Linked DNA regions of Astyanax mexicanus. The protein of the gene in region 1 interacts with the protein of each later gene in a biochemical or structural test. Links are inferred from orthologs where the notes say so. Each region holds a gene or a part of one and is shown on either strand. Other genes may lie near its edges.

Region 1 (7,773 bases):
ATACCTCAATTTAGACTAATTATGGTATGAGAATTTCATTTCTGATATTGTTATGACCATATTGGGTGATTTTGACATTAAAAGGTCATGATCAAGGTCGTTTTTCTATTCTGAAGGCCTTCCCCACAACTTGGCCATTATAAGGAATCAAAACCAGATACAATAAGTCTAATAAATCTGACATTTAATATCCATTGCTATATATATATATTTAACACTCATGAAGAGAAGAAATATGACAATTTTAAACATCCCCTTTGAACTTATATTTTAACAGAGTGTTAGTACAATGATATAAAACAATTGGGTGCAAATAAAACTATGTAGCAATAAAAGTGATACAAATTACATCAAACCAAATGAACTAAAAGTGCACCATGCAGTGGGATTTCTCTCAAAGTGTACTGTATGCGTGCGGGCATGTTAGTGGGATGGGGTTTTTACAGAATGATTTTTCTATTTTTCCATGGCAGAATATGATGCATGAAACTCCAGCAGAACGACATCCACATCGACTATTGTCACACTTGCCTGCACACTTACATATTGAGAGCAGACTTGGTGGTAAAGGCTTAAGACATTTTGATGGCAGGAGTGTGCCAAAGTGCTCCTTCCATCCATGGTCCGTTGGCTCTAGTCTTGCTTTGGTGTCCTTGGCTACTGTAAGCATGTTGCATGCCGTATGAACCAGAGAAGCCCCTTGTTGGATGTTTTCTCTGATCACACTACTTGTGAGAGGGAGAGCATCAATTCCAGTACTTCCATGTGTGTAGATTTCTACAAATGTCTTAGCTTTCATCAAATATCTTATCTGTTGTTGTTGATCTGTCCCCAGCCCAGACATGCACCAAGTGCTTCTCAGCCAAAGCTGCATCTTGCTCTGTCAAGGCCTGCATCTTGCTCTGCCTCTCCAAAGTTGGCTCAGTACTGGACTGGGTCAAAAGCTGTAGAAACAAGTTTAGTCTCCACCTTGCTCATACAGTCATCTCCAGTCAGGATATGAGCTTTAATCACTGTCTTTGAAAGTGATGCTCCAAGTCGAGAGACTGCTTAGAGAAAGTGTCTCATGTCCCGATCGTGATATGGTTTGCAGTCGAACCAGTGGCAATGCTACTGTATTTGTGAGCTCTGTTGTCTTTCATTATGAGGTGTTGCCAGCAAAGGCAGCTGGTGGGGACGAGATCCCAGACCTATTGAACAGGATTGAAGAAGCTGATGCCAGGTTGCTGGTGCATGTTGAGTGGGCTATTCTTGTGAAGCAGTGCAAAAGAGTTATCATAGTCTCCAATGACACAGACACCTTTGCATTGCTTCTCCGCTACAGCACATACTTCCCAGAACTTGGGATGAAGGAGATCTGGTGGCAGTATGGCAATGGTGAGAGGCTGCGAATGCTTCCACTCCATCAAGCAGTCTCTCGTTTCGGAGCATAACTGTCAAAGACAGTGATTAAAGCTCATATCCTGACTGGAGATGACTGTATGAGCAAGGTGGAGACTAAACATGCTTCTACAGCTTTTGACCCAGTACTGAGCCAACTTTGGAGAGGCAGAGCAAGATGCAGGCCTTGACAGAGCATGATGCAGCTTTGGCTGAGAAGCACTTGGTGCATGTCTGGGCTGGGGACAGATCAACAACAACAACAGATAAGATATTTGATAAAAGCTAAGACATTTGTAGAAATCTACACACATGGAAGTACTGGAATTGATGCTCTCACAAGTAGTGTGATCAGAGGCCACATCCAACGAGGGGCTTCTCTGGTTCATATGGCATGCAACTTGCTTACAGCCAAGGACACCAAAGCAAGACTAGAGCCAACAGACCATGAATGGAAGGAGCACTTTGGCACACTCCCGCCATCAAAATGTCTGAAGCCTTTACCACCAAGTCTGCTCTCAGTCTGTAAGTGTGCAGGCAAGTGTGACAATAGTCGATGTGGCTGTCGTTCTGCTGGAGTTTCATGCATCATATTCTGCCATGGAAAAATAGAAAAATCATTCTGTAAAAAACCCATCCCACTAATATGCATGCACGCATTCAGTACACTTAAGAATAGAAAAACGACCTTGATCATGACCTTTTAATGTCAAAATCACCCAATATGGTCATAACAATATCAGAAATAAGTTTCTCATACCATAATTAGTCTAAATTGAGGTATTATTTGTGTATATACATTCAGAAACAAAAAAGTTGGATTTTCATCATAGCCGATGGCAGCCATATTTGATTTGACCATTGCGGAATTCGTGGCACTATGGCGGACGAGCACCTCAGGGATTTTTCATGTCTAGGGACCCACTAACTCAGTTCAAGTGAGAAATTCCCCCAACACCAAATTGCGAACAGGTCTATAGGCCAGGTACAGGATTACTGGTCCTCACATTACGGCCCGTTGCTTGGTCATTTTCCGGCATGCAATAAATATGTTTGCAAACACTGAAAGTTGGTAATATCTAGACCTCGACCAATGTGATGATACTTAATTGAAACTATTATCGGCCAATACCGATATAATGCCAATATCACTGAGCATCCTTAATCTAGATGCCTGCTATTAGAATGTATTTCTACTATGCTATTAAGTTGTCTTGGCTTGTAAACAAAAGTGAAAATGACTCAACTTTATCTTAAAGTTATATTTGATTTTTTAACCTGCTAGGACGTGGTCTTTGTTGCCATTTTCTTTTAAAGAAATGTAATGTAATTGGCCATATCTCTACATAATACAATGAGGCATACAAGTCATAAAAAATATGTATGTGTGCAAAAATGTGTAAAGAAGGTTATGTGACTGTTTTAAAATGTTTTCTTTTTGAATAGCTTTAATACAAGTGTTTTTTTTATCAAACATTTGATATAACAACAGAGACTCCTAAGCTAATAATACATGCTATATAGAATTAACAGTTTTGTATTTTATCTGTCATTTAAACAAAAAAAACTAGAACATATAAGCAGAGTCATCACACTTTACTACTAGTTCTGTCTAAATCTGTTACAACAGATATGTCAGTCTGTTTGTAGCAGTTCACAAAGCTGTGGTTGGCTCCCTAATTCAAAATCCAGGTCCACCTTAAAAAATACATTAATACCGAACTGCCACCTGCACACGCCCCCGAGCAGAACAGCGGCAGCATTTAAGGTGGACCGCAGAATTTGACCATATAGCGCTGGGGAGGCTTTTCCCACAACTCGCCTTTCGCCCTCCGCCATCTTTCCTCCCTCAGTGCGTAGCTGTTGTTTCAGCGGCCCACCCTCCCTCTTCTACACGAATCTCAGCGCACACAAATAACAGTGAAAAACACCCGAACGAACCCAAAACACACTCCAAACACACACACATCCTGCAGACCCGTCCGCTTTAACAGGACCGAGCAGCTCCGCTTCACGCTTTTAACGGGTTTAAAGGGTTTAACTGAGCCACACGGAAGACACGAGAGAACCGGCTGCTTCTCAAAACTTCAGTTTTCAGAGCAGGAAATAGAAACAATTTAAAAGACAGCTGAACGTCTGTATTTCTTTGTAAAAAAAAATGAGTAAAAAATGCTTGTGTCTACCTTCTAGCACCTCAAATATCGCCTGCGACATGTTGAAGTCTTCAGCAGCCGGCGGAGCAGCGCTCTCTGTCTCTCTGAGGCGGAGGAGTGGGCGGGGCCTGTCAGCTGATTAATATTACACATTCTATTCATTTATATTTTAATATGATATACAGTAGCAGTCAAACATGTGGACACACCTCTTCTCGGGCAATGTGTTTTCTTTCTTTTTATGATTTTTATATTGTAAATGTAATACTGAAGACATCAAAAAGGAACACGTGGTATTATTTTAATAAGTGTTTTATACTATAAACTTAGTTCTTCTAAATAACACATTTAGATTTGAAGGAAGATCTGCACACTCTTGGTATTTTAAGTCTCCTGGAATAGTTTTCTTGAAGGAGTTCCTGGAGGTGCTGAACAATAGTTGCTTATATAATCATTTATAAATATTATAAATATGTATTCATTTAATATATATTTTATTTCTACATAATTGTCTTCTTTTTTAAATTTGCTTAAATTAAAAACTGTAGCAATATTAGACAAAGCCAAACAAAAGAAATACAAACATCAGTATCCACTAAAAATACTTCTTAGGCTATGCTTGGTAGTTGCAATTTGGGACTTTAAATAAAGACTTTGGTTGAAAGAGTATGAAAAATACCCATAAAAGAGAAAAAAAAGTTTTTTACATTTACTTTGACTTTTCTTTTTATTGCAGACAGTATGAACCCAAATGTTTTATATTTTCACCCATCAAATTCATTCCAACCCATAATGGACAGCATTAGTAGTAGCTAGTCTACCCTCAATATCTTTAGTCTTTATAATAGTTAATTATACTAATCATTCGTATACATGTGTGTCATATACATAGTAAATGTGAAATACTGTAATTATTAGAATATTATTATTTTATTACAGTATTACAATGCAATATAGTAATATAGGCAAATATGTAACAGACTGCTATGGGTTATAAGTATTTCAGAGCTCTTAATATTCTTAATATTCTCTGGTCAGCTGAGACAAATGTATTAGCCTGCTTCTAAAATATATGATACCTAACAAAGCCAGCTAGATACGTAGCTAGTTATTGGGCAAATTCTAATGAAAATGTTCCACATATAATAATTGTAATTATAAAATAAAGTCTTTGATAAATAAATATATTTTTTAAACTTGCTCATCGATTAAATTCCCATTGTTCTCTCCAGAAGTGCCTGTTTCTGAGTTACAGGCGCGGCTGCCAATCAGAGAGCAGAGGAACCGTGACGTGAAAATTGTTCTCGTCCAATAGTGTCGCCGCGATTCGGCACGTGCCAGTTTTCGCGGCAAAAAAGATTTGGCGCGTAAATAAGCTAGAGCCGATCAGCTGAGACAAAAACAACAATAACAAAAAGGGAGAAACAGCGGAGCAGATCGGTTCGGGGAGCGGACGGAGGCTCAGCGGCGGACCTGTGGGCACAAAGCGAGAGACTATCGGGGGTTTATTGTGGATGTTTTCGCCTGGAGAGCGCGGCCGACAGGACAGTTGGATTATTTAGCTAGTTTTTGGACGGAGGAGCTTCCTGGACGGGTTTGTTTTGTTTCTGGCAGAAAGAGAAACCAAGGGCCGCAGATATTTTAAACTTTTACACTGAAAAGCCTCGCCTTGGTCACCTATTAACTCATAATAGTAAAAAAACTCTTTAAAATGTTTAAATGTGTAGTTGCTTTAAAAAAAAGTTAATCTATAGTTTTTAGATGCATTTCTATCAGCCATCCAGCTTAATATAAAGCTGAACTTGACTGTTGCTGTAACAATATCGTATAGATCAGCTAACGTTCATATTAACTTAACTAGGTTAGTAGCTACAATAGGCACTAGTAACTTTGTATATTCATATTTTCTGACTTTCCCTATGTTTCCTATGCTATATTTATTATTGTCCACTATTACACTTTAATAGCTTCTAAATTAGCTTATAACCTAGCTTGTATAGTAACCTTCATATTTACATTTCCCACTTTATCACTTTAATAGCTTCTTAACTATAACTGTAGCTAATATAGCTAACTATAGTAATTTGTATTCGTATATATTTCCCCATTTCCCCACTTATAGCTTCTATATTTGCTAGCCAGTTAGCTTTGGGAGCAGAGTTGCAGCTGCTGGCCTTTCAGCTGTCTAGTCATAGGGGACCAAAACAAAGGGCTGCTAGCACTCAACACTGACAAATGCAGATTTTCTGACTTTTAGAGCTGTAATCCTACTTTAAAGTGTCAAAAACAGCCGTAATGATATTTCCTTACATTTGTAATCATATTAGGCAACTTTCACTCCTCTGCTTTTTGTCAAACTTTGTACTTTGGCTGTAAGAGCCTTGACCTAGTTATCTAAGTTAGCTAGTTAGCGTAGCTGTTTTGTTAGTTTAATGAATGAAAGCCTCTCATATTAATGCATTAACTTGCGTTAAATCCGCATATTAAACTTAAATATCTCTATAAGAAATATATACATATGTCAGCCTTAATATATGTAATTATAACAAGCCCTTATAAACATGGCTCCTCCAGCAGGACGGTATTCTGGCTGCCCTCAGTGTAATTTCACTCACAGCACACAGTTCAGGGCAGTCTCCTGAACTCTTTTCCACTGAAGGCCTGAATCAGAGGGTGTTTTCGGAAACACAGCCTCATTTAAAACGCGCACTCAGACAGACAGTCCAACATGTCAAAGACCTTCATATCAGGCCACACGTCCGAGGACCTCCTGGCCGACTTCGAGTCGCTGCTGAACAGCGGGAGCATCGACCTGAGCGCCGAGCACCAGATAGTGATCATCTCCACCCCCGGCGGTGTGGAACTTCACCCGGCTGCCACCCACTCCGCGGGCGGGGACATCCTGCTGTTCGCCACGCCGCAGACCACCCCGGCCCCCCTGGAAGAGATCCGCAGACCCGCGCTGGGACGACCACCGGTACTGACCATAAGCTAATCAATATCTGCAGAATTACTGATACTGACTGAAGTAGGTGTAACCGACAAGCAGCAGCAGCAGCAGTAGTAATGATATGGTATTAAAACAGTCTACTAGTCTTACAACTGCTAGAAATGCATCTGCCATCTGCAAATTACAACCACTGTGGTTACCAGTACTGCAACTGCTACTTATTTTACTGCCAAACAAGTACAACTGCTAATCCTACTGCTGCACCAGTACTACAACCACTGCTGCTATTACTAGTTCTTATACTACCAAACAAGTACAACTGCTAATCCTACTGCTGCACCAGTACTACAACCACTGCTGCTATTACTAGTTCTTATACTACCAAACAAGTACAACTGCTAATTCTACTGCTGAACTGGTACTAAACCTACTATTACCAGTATTAGTATATAATAACACAGTATTAGTATATAATAACACTTATTAGAGTTGATTTAACACTAACAGTGTTGATTTAACACTGCCAAATTTCCTGTGTACTAACTCTACTTCTGAACTTGTACTACAACAACTAACTCTACTGCTGAACTAGTACTACAACAACTAAATCTACTGCTGTACTAGTACAACAACTTCTAACTCTACTGCTGAACTAGTACTACAACTACTAACTCTACTGCTGAACTAGTACTACAACTACTAACTCTACTGCTGAACTAGTACTACAACTTCTAACTCTACTGCTGAACCAGTACTACAACTTCTAACTCTACTGCTGAACTAGTACTACAACTTCTAACTCTACTGCTGAACCAGTACTACAACTTCTAACTCTACTGCTGAACCAGTACTACAACTTCTAACTCTACTGCTGAACTAGTACTACAACTACTAACTCTACTGCTGAACTAGTACTACAACTTCGAACTCTACTGCTGAACTAGTACTACAACTACTAACTCTACTGCTGAACTAGTACTACAACTACTAACTCTACTGCTGAACTAGTACTACAACTTCTAACTCTACTGCTGAATTAGTACATTACTGTTCTTACTAGTTCATCTACTGCTAAACAAGTACAACTGTTAATTCTACTGCTTAACCAGTACCACAACTACTAACTTTACTGCTGAACCAGTACTAAAGTCAAGTCAAGTAGTTTTATTGTAAATACTGCATATGTAAAAGACATACAGAGAATTGGAATTACTTTCCTCTCCTTCTCAAAAGTTACAGAAAATAAGATTATGAATATAAAATAGTGAGATACACTATATGTACATTACA
Region 2 (7,085 bases), on another chromosome or scaffold:
TCACTTCCCTACACTCATATAGAGATAACAGGAGGAAGAGAAGAATCAGAGCTTTGTTCTGAGGCTGAGAAACATATACAGATCCACAGAGGCTGTAGAGACTCAAAACTACAAAACACCGCTCGCAGAGGTGATGGGTTTTAGAAAACTCCGCCTATTATCAGCAGGAGACGCTTGGCGTCAGCAGCAGCCCAACGCAACAACAACTGGCCAGCGTAGAGCAGAGCGGCAGCACAGCGGAATGCCGCGCGGCATACCGCGTTCAGTGTGCAAGCACCTTTACACAACCGCTCAGCACAGATCACAGGGCGTTTAAAGGCCACACCTATTTCCAGGGGTGGAGTTTAGATAATGGATGGATAAATTATTTATAAAACATTATAACATTTTTGTTATGAGTGATAGTGTGAGAGTTTGAGAGTCACATCGATTTAAAATAACCCAGATTTGATTAAATTACATTTCTTCTTCAATAAAATCTTTTCTCTATCACTTCATATGAGTCCGTTCTTATGGACTTGCTCTGGAGCGCCCTCTGGTGGGCTGACCAAAACACATTATTAAGTGGGTATTCTCCTCTCTAGAGGTTCTCTGGTGTAGATCACTGAAACTCACAACATCCGGGTTACATATTCCAGATTTTACATTCCACCCGTATTCCGTAAAATCCCGCCTTCGAGGGTAGTTAGAAGACCCACTGAAGAATCTGTTCTGGGTTTGTTACACCGTCAGAGGGCGCTCCAGAGTGAAAACAAAATGAATATGATTATAGGAAGCAATAGAGGAAAATCAGTGTTTATAAAGGTATAATCATTTTCATACTGAAAAGTCTACTATATTTCTTTTTTTCACTTTCTAAAATTTAAGTTACTACTTTTAATTTGACGTTTTATCCGTTTAGCTTTATTCACCCCCATTCATTTTGGACTCATGATATACTATAGAAGGACTTTAAACCGCTAGAAGGAGCACGCGAGTAATTCCAAATTATTGGGGTTCAATGAAGCTAATCAGCTAAACTAATTAAAAATAATTAGCAAGTAACTAATAAATAATTCAAAATATTCATTTAATTTTAGAAAGTATTAAGTATTTCCTGGTAGTAAGTTTTACATTTCAGACCTACATTTCTACAGTAAAAGGATTTTAGGCTGTAAAGAGCATTACTGCTACTGGGAGCTGACAGCATATCATAATTAGAAGGTTTTTAATTGGAGTTTATTTTTTTTAATTGTGTCTTCAGCACTGAAACATTTGGTATTGTTCTGTTTTGAGGAAATTAGTAAACTTTCTTAGTATAAAAATATAAAACATTTATAAACTATGATTTTGCTCTTTTGCTTCATATGAACCCATTCTTTTTGTACTTGCTCTGGAGCGCCCTCTGGTGGCCCGATACATTATTAAGTGGGTATTCTCCTCACTAGAGGTTCTCCAGTGTAGATCACTGAAATGTGTACTACATTTCTCAATATATAACCATATTAAATGTTTCAGCACTGCAGACTCATTTTAAAAGGTATTAAACTCCATTTATAAACCATTTAAACGTGCACTGGCATTCACTTTAGGCTCAGCTCACTAAATAGTTAGTTTACAGTAATGGTAGTGAATCTATTGTCTAAAACATGTTTATTGTAAAACAAAATGGGCAAGTTAATGTAACGTTCTTTGCTTTTTTGTTGTTGCAAAATACATCATTCCACTTTCCAAAATTTAAGTCACTATTTTTTAATTTCACGTTTTAGCCGTTTGGCTATATTCACCCCCCTTTATTTTGGACTCGTGATATAGTATAGAATGACTTTAAACCGCTAGAGGGAGCCCGCGAGTGAGTCCAAAATAATGGAATTGAATGGAGCTAATCGGCTAAAACTAATTAAACATAGTTAATAAGTAACTAATAACTAATTCAGAATATTACTTTAATTTTAGAAAGTCGAATAAAGTATTCCCTGATAGTAAAACTGACCTACATTTCTACAGTAAAAGAATTTTAGGCAGTAAAGAGCATTACTGCTGCTGGGAGCTGACTGCACAGCATAATTTTTTATTATGTCTTCAACACTGAAACATTTGGTATTGTTCTGTTTTGAGGAAATTAGTAAACCTTTCTGTACAAAAAGTATCAATAAAAAAATAAAATATGATTGAGTTTACATTAAGCAATAGAGCACATTCTTGTTGGACACGCTCTGGAGCGCTCTCTGGTGGCCCAACAAGCCCAAAACTCAGGACTTTTAAAATCCACCCGTATTCAGTAAAACTTTGTAAAAAAAATTAGAAGCTTTTTATCTGGACTTTAAAGTTTTTTAAGTATGTCTTCAGCACTAAAACGTTTGGTATTGTTCTGTGGTGATAAAATGAGTAAACGTTGAAGAATAAAAAATGTCAAACATTTATAAACTATAAATTACTTTTCTCTATCACATTATATGAGCCCGTTCTTTTTGGACTCGCTCTGGAGCGCCCTCTGGTGGCCCAACAGGCCCAGATAACATAATTAAGTGGGTATTCTCCTCACTAAAGGATCTCTGGTGTAGATCACTGAAACTCGCAACATCAGATAGGACCCACTGATCTCTTCTGGGGTTGTTATACCGCCAGAGGGCGCTCCAGAGAGAGAAGAAAATGAATATGAGGGTTCATATGAGGCAATTAAGCAAAATCAGTGTTTTTTTAAATGTATAATAATTTTCATACTGAAACGTGTACTACTTTTCTCAATATATAACAATATTAAATGTTTCAGCACTGCAGACATCATTTTAAACGTTCTTAAACTCCAGTTGTAAACCATTTGAAATTTGCACTGACATTCGCTTCAGGCTCAGCTCACTAACTAGCCATTTAGTTCTATTCACCCCCATTCATTTTGAACTCGTGATAGAATGACTTCAAACCGCTAGTGAATGAGTCCAAAATGAATGGGGTTAAATGCTCTTTAAAAATAGTTAGTAACTAACAACTTATTTAGAATATTTCTTTATTTTAGAAAGTCCAATAAGAGTATTTCCTATTAAGAAAACTGACCTACTTTTTTTTTTACAGTAAAAGAGTTTAAGCAGTAAAGAGCATTACTGCTGATGGGAGGTGACTTCACAGCATAATTAGAAGGTTTTTATCTGGAGTTTAAAGTTTTTTAATTATGTCTTTAGCACTGAAACATTTGGTTTTGTTTTGTTTCGAAGAAATCAGCCAACTTTTCAGTATAAAAATATCAAACATTTATAAACTATGATTTTGCTTTATTGCTTCATATGAACCCATTCTTTTTGGACTCGCCCTGGAGCGCCCTCTGGTGGGGTTCTCTGGTGTAGAATACCGAATTCACAGCATCCGGGTTACTCACAACCCACATTCTGGTTTTCCGAGGACATTTAAAAAAGAGAAAACCCACTCTTCTGGGTTTGTTACACCGCCAGAGGGTGCTCCAGAGTAAGAACAAAATGAATATGAGGGCTCATAGCAATCGAGCAAAATCAGTGTTTATGAAAGTATAATAATTTTCATATTCAAACGTGTAATACTTTTAATATAGAACTATGTTAAATGTTTTAGCACTGCCGACATATTTTTTGCTGCTGGGAGCTGACTGTACAGCATAATTAGAAGGTTTATGACTGGAGTTTTACAGTTTTTTTTTTAATAATGTCTTTAGAAATTAGTAGACTTTTCAGTTTTTGGAATCACTCTGGAGCGCCCTCTGGTGGCCGACGAGCCCAGAACACATTATTAAAATGGTATTCTCCTCTCTAGAGGTTCTCTGGTGTAGATCACTGAATTCACAACATCCGGGTTACTTAAAGCCACATTCCGGGCAGCGTACACAAGTGACATCATACCGCTAACGATGCTTTTTTTTAAAGCCCACCTGTATTCGGGGAAAACACGCCCTTGAGCGCTCTGATTGGCCGATATCAGATATTTATAAACAGCACGCCAGCCCACACAGCGAAAGCCCCGCGTCTGCTGCGAAGGGATTGGATTAAATTCAAGAATGACGGATTCATCAACCAATCGCAACGCAGGAGGGGCGTGGCCTTTTCTGAATAGAGGTAGGAAAAGGAAAAAAACTGCACCGAGCACCGTGCTGTCTCACACAAGTAGTTTGGTATGACCAAGCAAACCGAACCGGACCGCGATCCAGTTCAGAGCTGCAGCCCCGCGGACCGAGAGCAGACCCGGAGACACTGAGGACCCGAGCGGCGCGGCGGGATGGACAGCGATGAGGATAACGTGGAGGAGGTGGTGGAAGGTACGACACGCGGGTCCTGCGCGTGCACGAGAGCGGAGCTGCGCGCTCTGTAGTTCTGTACTCTTTTTATAGACGGACTCTGAGAGCTGTCCGCGCGCGGGGTATGTTTAGTGTGTTAGTGTGTGTGTGGAGTCTTTTAGTGTGTGTTATTTGTGCGCGCGTCCTGTGGGGCCTGTCTTCATCGAAGCGCTTTAACTCACCCTGGCCACGTCCCAAACCGCGCAGTACCTTTCTAACTCAGTGATATAGTAATCACAGTGTACTGTGTAGTGGACTGAGGGCTGCGTCCTCATAAGAGAAGATGTAGAAATATGAAGACCAGGGCTTTGTCCAAACAAGCACTAATTAATTCACGTGGAGTGGTCGTGTAGTGTCATGACGCACTTTTTAGTATAGGAGTAAGTCAAATCACTTACTCCTATACTAAAAAGTGCGTCATGACACAGCCTAACGGATGGTTCTCTGATTGACTGAGCAGTTCTAATTTATTTGAATTTACACATATTTTAGACCAGTCTTACTTAGTTAGCTATTTGTTGGACATCAGAAAGCCAAAATATGTAGCTGAATTAGGTTCACCACACAAAAATATCTCATTATAATTTGTTTTACTGCATTTGTGAAATATATGATTTTCTGTCATTCTTATCCATTTAGATTACTAAAATAAAATTCCTGCCTTTAATAAATATAACAAAAAACTCAAAAAACAAAGTAAAATGTATTATAATATTAACCCTCTAAAGCATAGTATTTGCATTTGTTGAGAATAAATATCAAAACACTGCTCAGCATAATGCTTTGTGATATAATTGCATAATGCTGCCCCGAAGCAACAAATAAAAAAGCACAACTGATTTAGGAGGTAATATAACACAAAACAGCCAAAGTATGCTTTAAAACAGGCTTATCAAATATGGGTATTTAAATATTAAAACATTTAGATTTTTCGTCTAATATTCCCATGCTCTAATACTGGATATTGTTTAGGCTTTTTCTCACATTGGATTTGTCCTGTTTCTCAACCTTACTGATTTTTTATTTTTATTTCTTTTTCTCACCCTCTCAATATAAATATTAAAATAAACATTTAGAGGACAGTGTACAAAAGTGGATAGGCTAAATGGGTAAAACTAATGATAAAACAGCAGCAGCTATACAAAATATTGGGGGTCTGGTTTCCTCCCTCCATCCATAAACATATGCACACATAGGTGAATTGGTGAATGCTTGTGGGTGCTGAAAAATAGAGAATAAAATAAGAAATTGTTTATTGAATTAGCTTGATGTTGTACTTTACCCATACTTTCACAATTGTGAATACTCATCCTACTCCAGTTACTGCTCTCTGGTTAACATTATTGACCAGATCACTACTGAACTGAACTGTGAAACTGCAAAAAGTAAATGTGAGTTATATTAATGTATTTATCTATTTATGTATGTATGCATAGTTTTTTTAATACCAGTATGTTTTTACTTTCTGGCAGAAATAGGCAGAATCACATGATTATGATAATAATTTATTCCCACCTAGACAAACTCATTTAAAACATCAATAGCCTGTGGAGATTTAGCTCTCATTATGCTGTCTTGTTTTGTCTTGTAATATAGATTTATAGAATTTATAATATGAAGCAGACCCTGAGTGTAAGTGGATGACAGGGTGATCGGCGCACTGCCTCAGTCATTTTTGGCTGATGAGGGTGACATCAGTGTTGAAGATTCAAATTTTAAATTCACATTTCAAGAATGGATGTGTGTGTGTGTATATGTTGTACATGTGGACTGACCATGTTCAATGTTTATGTCTCTAAACAACTCCACAGGACCACTGGATGATGATGACCTCCCCCACGGCTTCTGCACTGTCACCTACTCCTCCAGTGATCGCTTTGAGGGCCACTTCGTCCACGGTGAAAAGAACGGGAAGGGCAAATTCTTCTTTTTTGACGGCAGGTCTGACACAAAGCACTAATAAGCAACAAAACACACACACACACAAACATGCACACACTGAGTATTTCCAGCCAGTGTGTTATTATTAACAATTATCCAAGACAGGGCTGCTGGGTTCTCAGACATGATTATGATTCATATTTAGATGAGTCAGTGTCTCATCTACACACACACACATACGCTCACACATGCGCGCGCACACACACACAGTCCTGCAGGCTGTCCATAGTTATCATGGATGTAAATGGGTAGGTGTGAGTCACAGGTGATGTGGCTGATCTGCCACTCGTAGCGAATAGTGTTACTGACCCGCTCTTATTTTTAGACTCTGATTAATGATCAATATACTGTATGTATTAGTGAAGGTTAATTCTATAATATTGTATAATGTCAAATCTGAATATTTATGTGCTGTACATAGAGGTTGGCTTCACCTTAATGTGGATAACTATGTCTGAATGGAGCAAATTATAAAGAGCCTATATTATGCAAGATTTAATTCTGTAATTCTTAATTATGCAAGATGTAAATGCTGTTAACTTAAACAAAAATGGAGTTTAAGCTACACAAACAGTTTCAAATTAAATTGTTTCAAATGATGTACATAGTATATTTGTCTACACCTGTGTTTCTTACTCCTTATTCTGGAGGCTGTTCTGCACATTTTTGATTGAACACAGGGCTTGTTACTTACATGATTAGTTGGACCAGGTGTGTTTGGAAAAAGGAAAGGAAGGCTGTGTCCCAACTGTGTACTACTCTCTAATACTGTCAGGTGTATAATATATAATAATCTTAAGTGTGTGTTTGACAGTTTATATATATCAAATATTGTTTTACATTTTGTATGTTTGTATGTTTTGCTAAT
Region 3 (7,834 bases), on another chromosome or scaffold:
CATGCACGATCTTGCATTGATGATGGTGGAGTCTGACCGAGGCACAAAGCCTTCTTCAGCACATCCCAAAGATTCTTAATGAGGTTAAGGTCTGGACTCTGTGGTGAACAATCCATGTGTGAAAATTATAATCTCATGCTCCCTGAACCACTCTTTCACAATTCCAGCCCCATGAATCCTGGCACTGTCATCTTGGAATATGTCCGTGTTATAGAATAAAAGCATAAAAAATCCATTGATGGAATGACCTGGTCTATATTCAGTATATTCAGGTAGTCAGCTGACCTCATTCTTACAGCACATACTGCTGCTAAACCTAGACCTGACCAACTGCAGCATCCCTCATACATGTCATGTCTTCCGCTTAGGCGTCATGTCATGTCTTTACCCCTTTTTCCCGTTGTCCTCCCATATTAGTATTTTCCCATAAATTTCCTGTATTATATTACAATAAAAAAAAAAAACTCCTGTGCTTCTCCAAACTGAAATGTCACTAATCTCACAAGAACTGCCACCCAGTGTGAAAAGTGTTTTTGGCCAGACAGTGTATTTAATCAACATTTACATTAACAATTTTGAACAAAATGTCTCTGCCGTAAAACCAGCATTATATTCACTTTATACAAAGTTCTATTGCTATTTGGTTTGTAGTCTAATTGCCTTATTTTCTGTTTTTTTTTCTTGTTCAGTTAGACAAATTGTAGACTGTTTTAGGCTTGAACAAGTGCAGTGAAGTCCAGTTCAGTGTCTGAGGTGGATATGTGAAGGGCTGGGTATGGAAAGGATGGAATAAGGCTGAGTGTGGCATGGTAATTTGTAAAAACTTTACCAAGTTTTTCCTGTGCTGTCTCTATTTTTTGTGCATGCTCTGTACAAGTTTAATTTGAAAAAAAAAATGTCTACTACACTTACATTACTAATATTGTTTTGGGTGCTAGTCAATAATTTAGAAGCTAGGTAGGTTCATAGTTTATAGTTACTATGAACTACTAGCCAATCACCTTGCGAGGGGCGGAGCTTGCACGAATACGGGTGGGGAAAGCACGGAGCGCGGTGGAATGTAGGTGTTATATATGCCGCGCGCTTCACCGAGCCCCACCCACATGCTGGAACTGCGCTGCAGAGCTGCGCTGTGATTGGCTGGCGGTGTGGATCAAACGCTCATCACTAAAACAATGTCCGTGAACGAGTGACCGCTCTGACTTACCGGCATGTTTAAGCGCAGGGTCCTCCTCTTTCGGGTACTTTTCTTCCCCCCGTCTTTAGTCTTAGAGTCCATAGCAGTGCTCCCCATGTTAAAATCCTATAGAGAGATATTACCTTCCAGCAGTGAGAGAAATAAACTCAACAAAACTCAGAATTAACGCAGGGTACACCTCACACAGCGACAAAAAACAGCGGTGAAATCTAATTAATCTAATTCTGTCGCTGCAGAACTTTATCGCTGATAATCAATTCATCTCAAAGCTCCTCCAGTGAAAAAAAACAACAAAACAAAGCAGAAAAAAGCATCCTGAACATAAAAACGCAGAACTGCTCTGTCTACACGAGGCTACAGCACCGCGTGCTTTATCTACAGAATGAATAAAACACTACTCCACCGCTGGAGCAGCTTCACACTGTAACCTGCTGCTGCAGCTCCATGCCGGTCAGAAACACTGAGGCGCGCCCCCGTCTCTGGCACAGGAGCGCGCAAAGGGCGGATGGGCTTTAAAGGACGCACGCGCGTCACATGGGGGGGCTATGAGGTGTGTAAGCACGTCGATGAACACGAGTGTGAATCTAGAGACAGTAAACTATAACCAGAGTTCAGGTTCAGGTCTCCCGTTAGTCAGTGTTATCATGCAGCTTAGCCTAGATGCTGCTGTGTATCAAATTAAGTCATGAGCTGAGTATAAATTTAGCTAAAATATTATTGATTGTAAGATGAGTATGAAAACATATATACAGTACCAGTCAAAAGTTTGAACACACCTTTAAATTAAGTGTTTTTTAATTATTCATAACATTGTTTTCTTTGTAGATTAATACTAAAGTTATCCAAACTATGAAGAAAAAACAAATAAAATAATTTAGTAAACAATAAACAGAAAATGTGTTAAACAAACCAGAATATGTTTTATACTTTAAATACTTCAAAGTAGGCACCTCTTGCTTAGATAACAGATTTGCACATCTTTTCAGTCAGATTTCTCAGGTAGTCACATGGAATGGCTTTAAGTTGTGCCTTGTCAAAAGTTAATTACTCAAATTTCTTCCCCTCTTAATATGTTTGAAAGCATTAGTTGTGTTGTGAGGAGTTAGAGTTAGGGAAATGCCCTATTTGAATCAAAAGTCGAAGGTTTTGGGTTAGCATGGAATGTACGAGGCATTCTACAACTGGTAGCTGGTTGAAGAGCTCGAAGTCACACTTTTCTACTTCATCTTTGCTAGATATGTATAAGTCTTTTTTATGACTCTTGGAACACAAACCAAGTATTTTGACGTATTACCTTCCATGGTATGTACACAATTTTGTCAGAATTCAGTGGGGGAGGGTGTAATGGAGTTAAACAGACATAACTAAAAGGAATTATATAAAATATTATGTTCTTTGAAATGATTTCTTACAAAATTATCATATTATACATTATTCTACTGTTCCCTGCACTAACAATGCAACTGCATGTTTTTTTGTTTGTTTTATGTTTTGTTTTCATTTATCTTCAAAGGAGCTTTCATATGATGCTGGAGGTAAGCATAGCAGATAAGCTCTGTGAATAAGTGGTATTTTACAAGGATATATGTTATTTTGAGACAAGTTAATGGAAAAATTAGTTTTCATATCAGTTCTAGTCACCTCTATGTATTTTTAGCGGATATTGGTGAATATTTTGTCCCATATAGAATTATTTCTGCCCAGGTTCAGTTTAAAGCATCAGGCTATGACAGTTTTGGTGCCAAATGCTACATGTTGGAGAATAAGCCTGTTTCTTACACTTAGAGGTTCATGTGCAGTTGCAGAAGCATAATAAGGACCAAATGGATTATTTGTGTGATATGTTGTGGTCGTGTTTATCATAAACTAAGTGTATTTTCTGTCATGTTATAAAAAACGTATGAACATTTTTTAATCACGTATAATAAATGCTAATATTAAGCTATGAGTTTTATTTATTTTTTGCAGAAATTTGTGTGTATCAAAACAGAGCTGTTTTACAGACTGTTCATGTAAATGTTTATTAGTAGCCCCAGAGGAGCTTGCATATAATGCAGGAGAGAACCATATGCAGTTGCAGAAGCATGATAATCACCAAAGGGATTATCTGTGTTTATGTGCAAGCTCAAGAAAGGCCAGAGAAAAAAACAAGACATCCTGCCTCCACCAGTCCTTTCTATCTAGTTTCATCCTGGGTGTACATGTTCTACATAGCCACACTGAGGTCAAAACTGCCCTACTAATTCTACAGGCAAGCAGTCACATAAATGCCTAAATTATCAAACCGTTTTTATTCAACTGCACCCCTCACATCAAAGAAAACTGTGTAAAATGTATAATAAGTCCTTTAAAGTGAAGTTTAATATTCCTCTATATGTGTGTTAATGTGTTCAGAGTAAACGCTGATAAATTAATTGTTACATAGTATTTGAATGAAATTGAAACAGCTATGCTATAAGTAATATTGTTATTGATGCTGCTAATCAGCTTTATACTGTTACTGTATTAAACTGCAGGCTTTTCTAATGTTTTTTGTGTGATTCATGTGATAACCAGGATATGTTCATTTAGCTTAAATGCTGCATGGTTTGGGTATACTGAACATTTCAGAAAACTCTGTACAGCGACACAACATTTACCACCTTCAACACCTGTGTAAATATTGTAACAGCTACAATATTATAAAAAAAGACTCTATGTCTAGTGTCTAGTGGTTTAATGGTAATAACTAACTAACTAACTGTAAAATAGTTGATGAAATTAAATGATTTAATGTTGATTAATACATTACTGTAGAAAATATATGTAAATCTACAGCAGATTTAACATTTTTTAATAAAATAAACCGTTCTGTAGTCTTGCTTTATCGAAAAAGTACATTTTGGTGAATAAGCGCATTCATCTTCTTTATCACTGCTTTCTAAGGTATAGTTGGCGAGCTGTGAATTTGAACATCTGTAGTAAAATTATCCTAAATATAGCGACATATTATTATATTAATTTATATTCATTCAACATTTAAATTTTAGGAGATTTCAATATTATTGTACATCTAATGTACGTTTAGCTAGCTAAACTAGCCAGCTAAAATAGCTAAATATATTAGTGGGTATTAACATTAGTTAAGTTAGCTAGTTGTCAAACTAGTAGTTAAATTGAGGTATGCTGGTAAAAGGCTGTGGAAATTCCGTTTCTGATAGTATTCCGTTTTCCAGGTTTTTATCTGCCTAAACCGGTCCTATTTAACATCAAATGTTTTGTGGATTTCTTTTTTTTTTCAAGTGACATTTTGTGTCATTCTGTTTTTAGAGATTATTTGTTCAAATATTCACTAATAAATTCTAGATTTTAAACAATGGGCCTGACCGTACCATTATACTGAGAATTGGTGTCCATGTTGTTTTTGACCACAAAGTGTATTTTGGCATAATTGGGTATCTATATCTTTTGTAAAGCTGGAATATAAAATCATATGATTAGGGTTGTTTGTGAGTCCCTGTTGATGCATCACGGGGGTCGCAAACTCACAATTATTACATTGAATGTCAGAAGAAACGTTCAAGAAGAGTCTACAAACTTCAGAACATCAGATATAACCTCCAATGTTTGTAATTTACCTCTGAAACAGCGGCTGTGTGTTTCAGCTCCGCGTCGTCCGGGGGCGGTAAATCCAGAGCAGTGGATCTGCTGAAAACAACAACAGCTCCGAGTAGAAGAACTGCCGGACGTTTTGTAAGTTGACTGGATGGCGCGAAGGCTCCTCCGTCAGGCTGTAGAGAGATAACGAAGCGTTTAGAGTTGGGGATTCGTCTCTATTCGCCTGTTTTATCCGTTAATATCTGTGTGCTGTGGGGATGAGTAGTTCAGCGGTAACGGCTCTGCTGACTGGAGGACTACAGGAGCTCGAGCTCTCTCTGAGGAAACATCATTAGATAATGATATTTCAGCAAAACTGAGGCGTTTAGCAGCTGGTATCCGTCTGTTTGCTGGCTGAACCTAAACTACAATGTTCAGTTTCAGATTACTTAGATAATAAGCTCGTTAGCTAGTTAACTAGCTATCTATTTAGCTAGTTAGTGGATCTGACTGCTGATCCAGTGAAAGCTGGTGACCGTTGCTAAGCTAGCTTTAGCTAGTAACCTAATTTAAGGTAAGCTAAGTTTACTTTGCTAACTATGTTAACAGTTTAGACCTGACTGACACTAATGAACCTAAGTGTTAACTTTAATTAACACGTATTTCTTATGACATTTTGGACATAAATGTGAAATGCAAAAAAGCTCTGTAGAATCTGTACTCTTCATGCTAGCCTGCTTACTGCTAGCTAACCTATAAACAATTGATACTAAATAGCTGAATATGTAACTTAGCTAGGTGAGCTAACTAGGTTAACTAGCTAACGCTAACTATCTGTTGTGTATTTAATATATTTTTATAGTAACCTAGCAAGACTTCTTGCCTAATAACAGCTAATTAGTTAGTTTGGTTAGCTAGTTAACTAAGTGAAAAAAGTTTAATACTGCATGATTTATAGCTGCTGGACCTGTTGCGATGTGACAGTGCTCCATAACATAGGCCACAGTTTAAAACCTAGGTGTAGTCACCTAGAATGGCTTGTCAACAATTTCAGACATTCAGTAGAAACAAAACAAAATAAATCTGAAACCTTTGTATATTTTGTAAACATCAGTAACTTACTAAGAAACGAAAACTAATTTTAAAAGGTTTTCAAGACAGAAAACCCCTATTGTCATGGATTTTTATTATTTACAATTTTATTCTGGCATGATATCTTGTTTACAATATTATAAGGTCAAATATTATAAGGCACACCTCTACTCCAAATGTTAATGTTTCTACCTTGATATTTTAGGGATCCTGTAATGAATAGACCAGTATAAATGGTGGAATAAAATATTTTACTTTATGTACGATAAAAGTTAGTTACTTTATTTTGAAGCAACAAGTTATCTTTTGTATGGAATTGAGATACATTAGTCAAGTTATCAGTGAGATCTTGTTGTTCTGTGAGATCTTTTTGAAATGTAGTAATTCAGTATTTTCTTTTTTTTTTAAACAATAGAAGCCAGAATGTCCAAAAGGAGCCAGGATGCTTTTATGGTAAAGTTTGTTGAACACAATGGGCAGAAACGTGAGCTTGGTCAAAAAGCTTATGAGGTACAGTAAATATTCATCATAATGGAAACCAAATGTTTCTGACAAACTATTAGTCCTCCACTAATAACATGGTTATTGAATACCCTATAACTGCTGGCATTATATCATTAAAATATATATTTTTCTTTTTTGTATGTTAAGGCGATAGTGGAATTGCAGTCAGAGAAATATGTGCAGACCATTGGTGAAGAAGCAGCCCTGAAGTTGGATCACAATGACAAATCCTTATATGTTTTCAGCGACTTTACCAGCAGTGCATTTGAGCACTGTCGAAAGGTATGTTCAAAAATATTACCCCCCAAACGATAGCTTATGGATACAAATGATATGGAATGTCTATTAGATGGAGCAGCTAACATATACACTAAAGTTCAAACATTTTTTTTTTTTACTAAGCAATAAAGCTCTGTTGCAGCTCTATGAATGCAGTACTAAGATTTAATTCTTTGTTATTAACTCTTATCTTTTTCCTCACGTTTGAAAGATCCTTTATGTAACTATGATGTATTTTGGAGGGACACAATTTAGTTGTGTTTAAAATACAATACAATATACTGCAAATGTACAAAACGATATTGTGATATTTTTCATCACTGCATACAAATAAAAACAATGTTACATTTGTAATCTGTTATGTATATTTATGAATAAAATTAGTTACCTAGATTTATGTTCTGAATTTGTCTTTCATTCAAAATTATTTTGTCTTCCACAAGTAGTGCTATTTCTACATGGTCACTAGCATCATATATAACGCTACTGGCATGACACTGCTGGTAGTCTGTCTTTATACCTGTTCTGTGTTTTTCCCTGTGTGCACTACAGTTGGGATGCAGGATAGTCAGTCCTCTGGTAGTGCTTTTTTGTCTGCAGCAGCAGAGGTGTGTGCCCAAGGCAGAGCAACCTGTCTACAACATGGCCATGGCTGATGTGACAGTGACCTGTACCAGCCTGGACAAAGAAGTACGGGTAAGCAATGAACCAAATTCACAAGCTGGGTCAAATATGTCTTTAACATAAGTAGTAATTAGAATCTAACGAAATGTTTACACCACATTTGTGTCTGTCCTGTAGACAGACGTCATGGACTTGGTTCAGCTCATGGGAGGAAGGGTTTACAGAGACCTTAATGTATCAGTCACTCACCTGGTGGCAGGTGAAGTGGGCAGTAAGAAATATCTTGTGGCAGCCAACCTGGGGAAACCTGTCTTACTGCCCACCTGGGTGAAGGCATGCTGGGAAAAGTCTCAAGACAGGTAGGACTCTATTCGTCTTCATGCTTTTATGACCTGTATAAACTCAAAAACTCACCTCAAAAGGCGGTAAACATTTTGGTTCTCTTGTTTTTCTTCTTTTCCTCAGTATGTTTCGGTATTCAGACCTGCGTGTAGAGGACTACCTTTGTCCTGTCTTTAAAGGCTGCACAGTATGTGTAACTGGTCTGTCCACAGTGGAGCG
Region 4 (7,569 bases), on another chromosome or scaffold:
TTTTCTAATAAAAATTAGCCCTATTCCCTGAAATGAGTTTAACGACCCTGATCTGATTTTGAACTATAAAATACGAGGCATCGCATCAGCACTAACTTCACAACCACTAAGTCAGGGATTTTAGTGGATGTACCATGTCAAATTGAGCTTTAATCTAAGACTGTTTGAATAGGATAAAATGTGTTGTAAAGAACATTAAATCTGAGCCAAGATAATTTGAGCAAAAGACAGCACCACCTAGTTCTCACTGACACCATTACTCAGCCATGGTCCTTTTCAATGAGCTTATCATACATTACTGTGCCAGGCAGAGTTGTACAGTACAAGCCAGCGATTACTGAGCCTTGGAAACACGTAGTTATTGCAGATCTGGATTACAGAGACAAAAGGCAACCCTGTTTTTGGGCTGAACAGACAGGAAGGGAGTTTACAGAAATGGTGATTTTACGTATTACGGACCTTTCACTGCCTGTAACCCGCACATTCCCAGAAGTGCCAAAATGGCTTGGAGAGGGGAATAATTATATACAAAGAGCTCCACTCTAACCTATTCTAACAGAGTTCTAAAGAAACCATCCAATGAAGGTGGAATTTGAACACACATGAAGAGAGCACAATAGATTAGAAGTCTATCACCTTAAACACTCAGGCACCTTGTCTTGGTTTGTCTCTAAAATGTCAGTTCCATTTTTTGGCCTGAAATGTTGTGAAATGCTTCTTTATTCACTTGTTCTTCATGTAAAGATGATCAACATTGTTGCAAAGGCATTTTAAACCCACACAAGCAGAGCACAATGAATTAGCAGTCCATTGCCTTATCCACACGGCCACCTCGTCTTCTTTTTCCATTTAATATACAGTTCCTGTTACACGCATTGGAGCAACAAATAAACGAGTTTAAACATCCGATGCAATAGCAAATATAAAGAAGCACACATTTCTAATGGTGAAACTTTATCTTTATCACACTCTAAATGTGGTGAAGACAGGCAGCGGCGTAGTAGCGGCATCACTCTTAGTTATGAAAGTGACATCAATCTCCTCCAATGGGGAGTGGACAGGCTCCAATGGGGCGTGGACAGGCCCAACAGAGGCATCGGTCTCCTCCAATGGGGTGTGGATGTGTCCAGCAGAGGCTTGACACATCCTCACTCTCCTCCAATGGGGGCCTGACATCTGACTGGGGCCTGGGGCCACTGGTTCCAAATTCCTGAAGTGATTAATAAGAGTACATCCATCTTTTAAAGGTTTGTTTGTACATCAAAAATTGAGTGCTTTTTAGTTTTCTAATATTTTTTTACCGTCTGGTTTTGTTGACATAATGTTACCTGCAATGTGAGATCAAGATCCTGTGGTATGGTCACATCATCATCATCATCATCATCATGGTCACCAATACCAATCTGCTGGCTAAGAAGATCTCCCCGATTGGACTGAGCCATTTCATTTCAAAGGGATACCCCACATGCACATTGGTGCCCAAATAACATCCCCTGCCTTAAATAATTGTGTGGGTTTGCAGGTGCCACAGATCTGACTGGGCTGTATGGGTGGTGCCAATTCTCCCTGACATCCTGTCTCAGCTGCCCATTTGCTTCATAAAGGATGTGTGCAATCCACTCTTGGTCACCTGGCTTGATGACCCGGAGGAGCGGCTTTGACAAGAACCTGGCCTGGCTTATTTCTGGATAGTGCTCAGGGACTGGGAGCAGCTGGAGCGGGAGCAGAAGCAGGGGAAGGAGGAAGTGGCCTGCCACTCTGAGTGGCTGGTACCATCTCAAATGCTGTGGAAGGGAGGAAGGGGCAGAAACAGAAGCATCTCCACTTCAAAGGTGATTGTTAAAGTGGGCTAAAGTTGTGGAGGGAAGGGCTGAAGGGGCTGGAGGAGAAATGTCTGGGAGGTCTGTGCAAGATTTCAACACATGACACTTTTCAAGGTGCTCTGACAAAGCCACAACACCCAAGGCCTATGTGCCACAGTGCTCAATAAATTATCTAACCTAGTGACGAGCTAGCTAACACTAATGTTACTGGAGATAGAATGAAAGCTAGCAACGAGCTAACTAACCTTAGTGACGAGCGAACGCTAGCAAACTACACACTAATGTTACTGGAGTTAGAACGAAAGCTAGCAACAAGCTAACTAACCTTTGCTATGAGCTTTTCCAGGTTGTTCTTGACCGTACAAACTCTATTTTTTATTACCATTTAATAAAAAAATAAATAAATAAACATGCTGTTTTTACTAATAATATACTGTTAATTACTGTAATATTTAATACTATATTAAAACTACATTTTTATAAACACACAATGTTTTAAATATAGACCGTTTCAATGAGGAAAACAATAACAAAGCTAATGCGCATGTCTGTTCCTTCGACGCTTCCGGTGGCGTTATTTTCAAGTATACAGCTGTCAAAATGAGAGCGCATATTTCCCGAAAACAGAGCAAACATATGGTCAGAAATTAGTAAAAAGTGATCAAACCTCTTTTCCTGATCCTTTTGATAAGGATTTAAGAGGGAAGTTTTTTCCTCTGATTTAAAACGCGTGCCAGAGGTGATCTACCCAGATGTGATCAATACCTTGTTGAAACGGAGGCAGTGAAAGCGCACCGCAGTTTGGGCGCATATAATTACTTTCTCAGTGGAAAAGTTGGGAATATTTGTTCATATAGTAGAGAAGCATCACTATAGTGTATGGTGAGGTTGGAGCAAGTCAAACGCTGTCCAACATGTACTCTGCATGGTTTATAGATAAGAGGCAGGGAGAAGTTGTGAGTTGACACTGTAACTGCATGGCAGGTCAGCAGTGTGAAAAACGAAAGCACGCGTGTTTACTATGGAGGACCAAAAATGACATAAGTATAAATAAAAAAATGTTGAAATAAATAAATGAATAAATAAATAAATAAATGTTGACATAAAAAATACACATATAAATTAATAAATAAATATATAAATAAGAAATGTATTTATTAATTAATTTAATTACCTATACACTTATTTGTGCATGTGTTTATTTATTTATATATTTGTTTATTCATTTATATGTGCATTTATTTATATATTTATTCATTTCAACATTAATTTTTTTATTCATTTATTTATTTATATATTTATACATTTATATGTGTATTTATTTATACTTATGTAATTTTTGGTCCTCCATAGTTTACATAGGTTTAAAGAACAATTTGTACTACTATTGTAGTAACCACGGGTGCAGTTGAACAAATTGTCCAGTAGGTGGAGCCACAGTGCTCTCAGATGAATTGCCCTTCAAATGGGAGCAGAAAGATCAAAGAATCTTGCTGGTTTAGAAGAAAGAAATTAGAAGAAACTTGTGTGAGTTCAGCACAAATAAAGGAAAACAAACATAGATGTCTCTTCCTCATCTCATCAAGTCATCACAGTTATGCAGTATGAATTAGAATAGTTTTTTTCCCCTGTATCTCTGCGCACATAATTACGACATATGAAATATGAGGACATTTAAGGAATAGGACATATATAAAAACAATAGAATAGAACAATATAAGCAATAAAAATAAGCAGTAATCTATAATAATAAAACACAAGTAACCCATAAGAGCCCAGACCAATTTCTGAATATTGATACTAATTCATTGAATTTAATAAATTTATTGAGCAGCTCATTCATGTTTTTCTTGTGTGTGGGTTAAAATGTTAAAATCATGATGTAACATAAATCCAGTCACAAACAGGTCAGAACTAGTTATATGGAGCAAAAAACATTTTCTTAACGCGTTTGAACGGTTAAATGGTTGTAATAGAGCTGTAGAAGCAAAAAAAAAAACATCTCCAGCACTATCCCATCACACAGCTTTAAAATCTCTCTCTCTCTCTCTCTATATATATATATATATATATATATATATAGACATATATATATATATATAGACATAAAGAAAGAGAGAGAGAGAGAGAGAAAGAGAGAGAGCTCTGGAAAAAATAAGATACCACTTAAGACTGACGAGTTTCTTTGACTTTACCAAATTAAAAAAACGATGGAAAATAATCAAGAGTAATGGATGATCACAAGCCATCAAACTAATTTTTGCACCAGGAGGAACATAAAGTTATCCAAAGGCAGTGTGTTAGACTGGTGGAGGAGAACATGCCAAGATGCATGAAAACTGTGATTAAAAACCAGGGTTATTCCACTAAATATTGATTTCTGATCTCTTAAAACTGTATGATTATGAACTTGTTTTCTTTGCATTATTTGAGGTCTGAAAACTCTGCATTTCTTAGTTTTTTCAGCTATTTCACATTTTCTGCAAATAAATGCTCTAAATGACAATATTTTTATTTTGAATTTGGGAGAACTGTTGTCTGTAGTTTATAGAATAAAACAACAATGTTAATTTTACTCAAACATATACCTATCAATAGCAAAATCAGAGAAACTTTTTTTTAAGTTTAGGGAATTTTCTGACTTCAGATACTCCGTCTGAAGGCAGCATGTGTTGTGTTACGTATCCGCAGGAAGAGCCGTCAAGGTCCAGAACCACAACCAATGAAATCACTCCATACTTACAGGCACGCGCTTCTCCCCTTCTCAGCTTCAGCGCGTCCAATCAGAATCGCTTCTGTTGGGCAGTCTGCGCATGCTCATACGTCTTGTCTGTTCATGTGGCTGGTCGCTGGGTTTGTGTGGAGGTCACAGTGATCAGGAGCCCGGGTGAGTTACCTGCAGTGCTGGAGCCCATGTGAGAACAGTAGTTATATGTTAACTGATGATGTGCTGGTTGTGTGTATAGGAGTTAGGGTGAAGTAGCTAGCTTGGTTTTTGTGCCTCGTTTCAGTAGAAATGTGTGATTTACTAGTGCTGGCGAACTGCAGCAGCGGTGCGGTTGCAAAACGTTGCACCAGCAATAGATGCTAACTAGTTAGCTTAGCTAACGTTAGGTTAACTAAGCTAGCTAACTGAGTGTGTTCTTGGTTTAGTATTAGCTTGTTATAATCTTGAATTAATAGGTAACTTAGTCGTATTCATTTAACTAGGTAGTGAAGTAGTCACTAAATATTTCCAGACGTTTCTAGGTTAACTAGAATAGTTTATAGCTAGCTAATAGCTAGCATAGCATAGTCCATAATCAAGGCCTCTGAACAGTGCTCACATTATGCACATTTGTAGTTAGTTAGCTAACTAACTGTTGGCTCTGTTTGTTATACAGAATTAAACTAACTGAACACCAATAAGCTAGTTACCCAGTATGCTTAGCTCTGTCCGCTAGTTATATAATATTGATGATTAGCTCTTGATACATAAGTGAAGAGTAGATTTCCTGGCTGTTCTAAGAAGGAATGTTCCAGATAACCTCACACTTTGTCCTTTCTAAACCTAATAAGCTAACCCACATGCTGTTTTATAGTTTTTTCCACAGAATTTCACATTAATATTGTGTAAAAATAATAAATAATCCTTTTTCCCCCAGAGCCGTCACTCCGCTGTCATGGCTAAGTTATTTGAGTCTATTGGAAAGTTGGGATTGGCCTTGGCCGTTGGAGGAGGCGTGGTGAACTCTGCCCTCTTTAATGGTAAGTGGATTTCAGTGTGTTTTAGTGAAGTGTTGTAGTTGTTCACGTCTGTATCCATTAACACGATTAACAGTCTTTATTTCAGCAGCACGGCTGTGTTCAGTTTACTTTGTCTGAGATTAAAAGTCATGTGTTTTAACAGATTATCTGTCTAAAGCTGTATGTTCATATTACACATGGGAAAAGAATATTGTTGCTGTTGAATGGAGAACAATTATATCCAATTTTTTTTTTTTTTTTTTTAAAATAGCCCATAAAACCCCATTTAAAAATGCATATGCTTTCAAAGTAAAGAAGAGTTAAATATAAAAATATAAGACATTAAATATTAAAACATAATAACACAATAAATAATAAAAAACATGTATTTATTGTTTATAAGCTGTGCACAACCTGCCCAGAACGTGTCTGCGACCCACTTTTGGGTCCAAACCCACCAGCTGAGAATCGCTGCCTTACACTCACTTAATTTCCTGATGAACGGGTGGGTTTTTATGTCAGGGATTTTTATTGAGTCTCTATTAATCTGCAATGTAGTAAATAATGAAAAAAAGAATGTGTCCAAACGTTTGACTGGTACTGTGTCTTTGAAACAGAACAGGGACACCATGAGCAATTCAAAATGTTTGCATCTCTAGGTCAAGCATGGCTTCATCAAATGCTAATTTTCCCTAAAATTGTCCACCCTGCTGTGCAGCTTGCCATAACAAGGTGGACACATTCGTGACAGGAAATACAGTGTGCAAATTAAAAATATTATTTCTGATTAGGCATCTTGTCATAAGTTTTTTTTTTTTTTTTTTTTTTTTTAATACCTATGAAATGCCTAATACTATGATCCTAATACTAAAAGATTATGCCAAACTTTGCCCCTAATTGCTGTAAACTTTTTTATATTCTAAACTATATAATTACTAATAAAAAAATGATTTTGACTTAATCTAATCTATATCTGTGTGTGTCCTGCAGTTGACGCTGGTCACAGGGCAGTCATCTTTGACCGGTTTAGAGGAGTACAGGATGCCGTGGTTGGGGAGGGAACACATTTTCTGATTCCCTGGGTTCAGAAACCCATCATTTTTGACTGCAGGTCCCGCCCACGCAATGTGCCTGTCGTGACTGGAAGCAAAGGTAACTACTGTCAGAAAAAAAAATATATATATATCATTTTCATGATCTTGACCATGACCTTGACTCTGAAGGGGTGTAGTAATGGCCTTGTTATATTTTCAGTGCTTAGTGGCCATGGCAATGTTTTCTTATCATTTTAATTCTTAGCAGTGGGTCTTGCTGTCTACAGTATGTTAACCATATATCAGTGTCATGAAAAATGTGGAAATTTGTCCAAGTTGTTTCTTGGACAACGTATCGTCCAGAAACTTTTTTTTCAATTATTATTATAATTTTTTTTATAAATAATGTAGTAAAATTTTCATTCCAAATAAATAATTATCTCTCTACAATGGAATCTATAGAGTTTGCAGTGACTGACTAGTTACCCTAAGGCTAATGCTCTATTAGTATTATAGTTGTCTTTCCTTTCTTTTTCCTTCAGATCTACAGAATGTGAACATTACACTGAGGATTCTCTTCAGACCGGTAGCAAATCAACTGCCTAGGATTTTCACCAGTATTGGTGAAGACTATGATGAAAGAGTGCTCCCCTCCATCACCACTGAAGTCCTGAAAGCTGTTGTGGTGGGTAGCTATAAATCATTCTGTGTGTCTCAGTATAAGAGGTCCTAATAGTATGTGACCATGTGGCCGTGTCTCCATGTTTCCCCTCAGGCCAGGTTTGATGCAGGAGAGCTGATCACTCAGAGAGAGCTGGTATCCAGGCAGGTCAGTGAAGATCTGACTGAGAGAGCGTCCACATTCGGCCTTATCCTGGATGACGTTTCCCTGGTAATCCTTGATACTTTATATCTGTCTCACTTCCTTCATTCATTGCCTGTGGAGTGTGACTACAATGATGATGATGATTATGATGATGATTATG

Evidence for each region.
Region 2: of the proteins of e2f1 (region 1) and setd7, one has a biochemical effect on the other in vitro, tested with the Homo sapiens proteins (3 studies listed by BioGRID). The link is inferred for Astyanax mexicanus from reciprocal best matches to the Homo sapiens genes E2F1 and SETD7.
Region 3: the proteins of e2f1 (region 1) and topbp1 form a complex in vitro, tested with the Homo sapiens proteins (4 studies listed by BioGRID and IntAct). The link is inferred for Astyanax mexicanus from reciprocal best matches to the Homo sapiens genes E2F1 and TOPBP1.
Region 4: the proteins of e2f1 (region 1) and phb form a complex in vitro, tested with the Homo sapiens proteins (2 studies listed by BioGRID). The link is inferred for Astyanax mexicanus from reciprocal best matches to the Homo sapiens genes E2F1 and PHB1.

Annotation. Positions count from the first base shown.
Region 1 is NC_064420.1:14,793,061-14,800,833, reverse strand, and holds the start of e2f1 (transcription factor E2F1), read left to right. Parts: upstream 1-4,757; 5' UTR 4,758-6,261; coding exon 6,262-6,510; intron 6,511-7,773. Other genes in the region: znf341 (zinc finger protein 341), read right to left, coding at 3,564-3,594. UniProt on the Homo sapiens protein: Transcription activator that binds DNA cooperatively with DP proteins through the E2 recognition site, 5'-TTTC[CG]CGC-3' found in the promoter region of a number of genes whose products are involved in cell cycle regulation or in DNA replication.
Region 2 is NC_064417.1:27,895,840-27,902,924, forward strand, and holds the start of setd7 (histone-lysine N-methyltransferase SETD7), read left to right. Parts: upstream 1-4,065; 5' UTR 4,066-4,218; coding exon 4,219-4,258; intron 4,259-6,087; coding exon 6,088-6,217; intron 6,218-7,085. UniProt on the Homo sapiens protein: Histone methyltransferase that specifically monomethylates 'Lys-4' of histone H3. H3 'Lys-4' methylation represents a specific tag for epigenetic transcriptional activation.
Region 3 is NC_064408.1:103,078,906-103,086,739, forward strand, and holds the start of topbp1 (DNA topoisomerase 2-binding protein 1), read left to right. Parts: upstream 1-4,827; 5' UTR 4,828-4,930; exon of another isoform or gene 4,931-5,348; intron 5,349-6,281; 5' UTR 6,282-6,289; coding exon 6,290-6,376; intron 6,377-6,517; coding exon 6,518-6,652; intron 6,653-7,201; coding exon 7,202-7,345; intron 7,346-7,450; coding exon 7,451-7,632; intron 7,633-7,738; coding exon 7,739-7,834. Other genes in the region: prkag2a (5'-AMP-activated protein kinase subunit gamma-2a), read right to left, coding at 1,208-1,294. UniProt on the Homo sapiens protein: Scaffold protein that acts as a key protein-protein adapter in DNA replication and DNA repair. Composed of multiple BRCT domains, which specifically recognize and bind phosphorylated proteins, bringing proteins together into functional combinations.
Region 4 is NC_064426.1:27,732,236-27,739,804, reverse strand, and holds the start of phb (prohibitin), read left to right. Parts: upstream 1-4,562; 5' UTR 4,563-4,710; exon of another isoform or gene 4,711-4,738; intron 4,739-5,467; 5' UTR 5,468-5,485; coding exon 5,486-5,570; intron 5,571-6,539; coding exon 6,540-6,701; intron 6,702-7,125; coding exon 7,126-7,268; intron 7,269-7,358; coding exon 7,359-7,475; intron 7,476-7,569.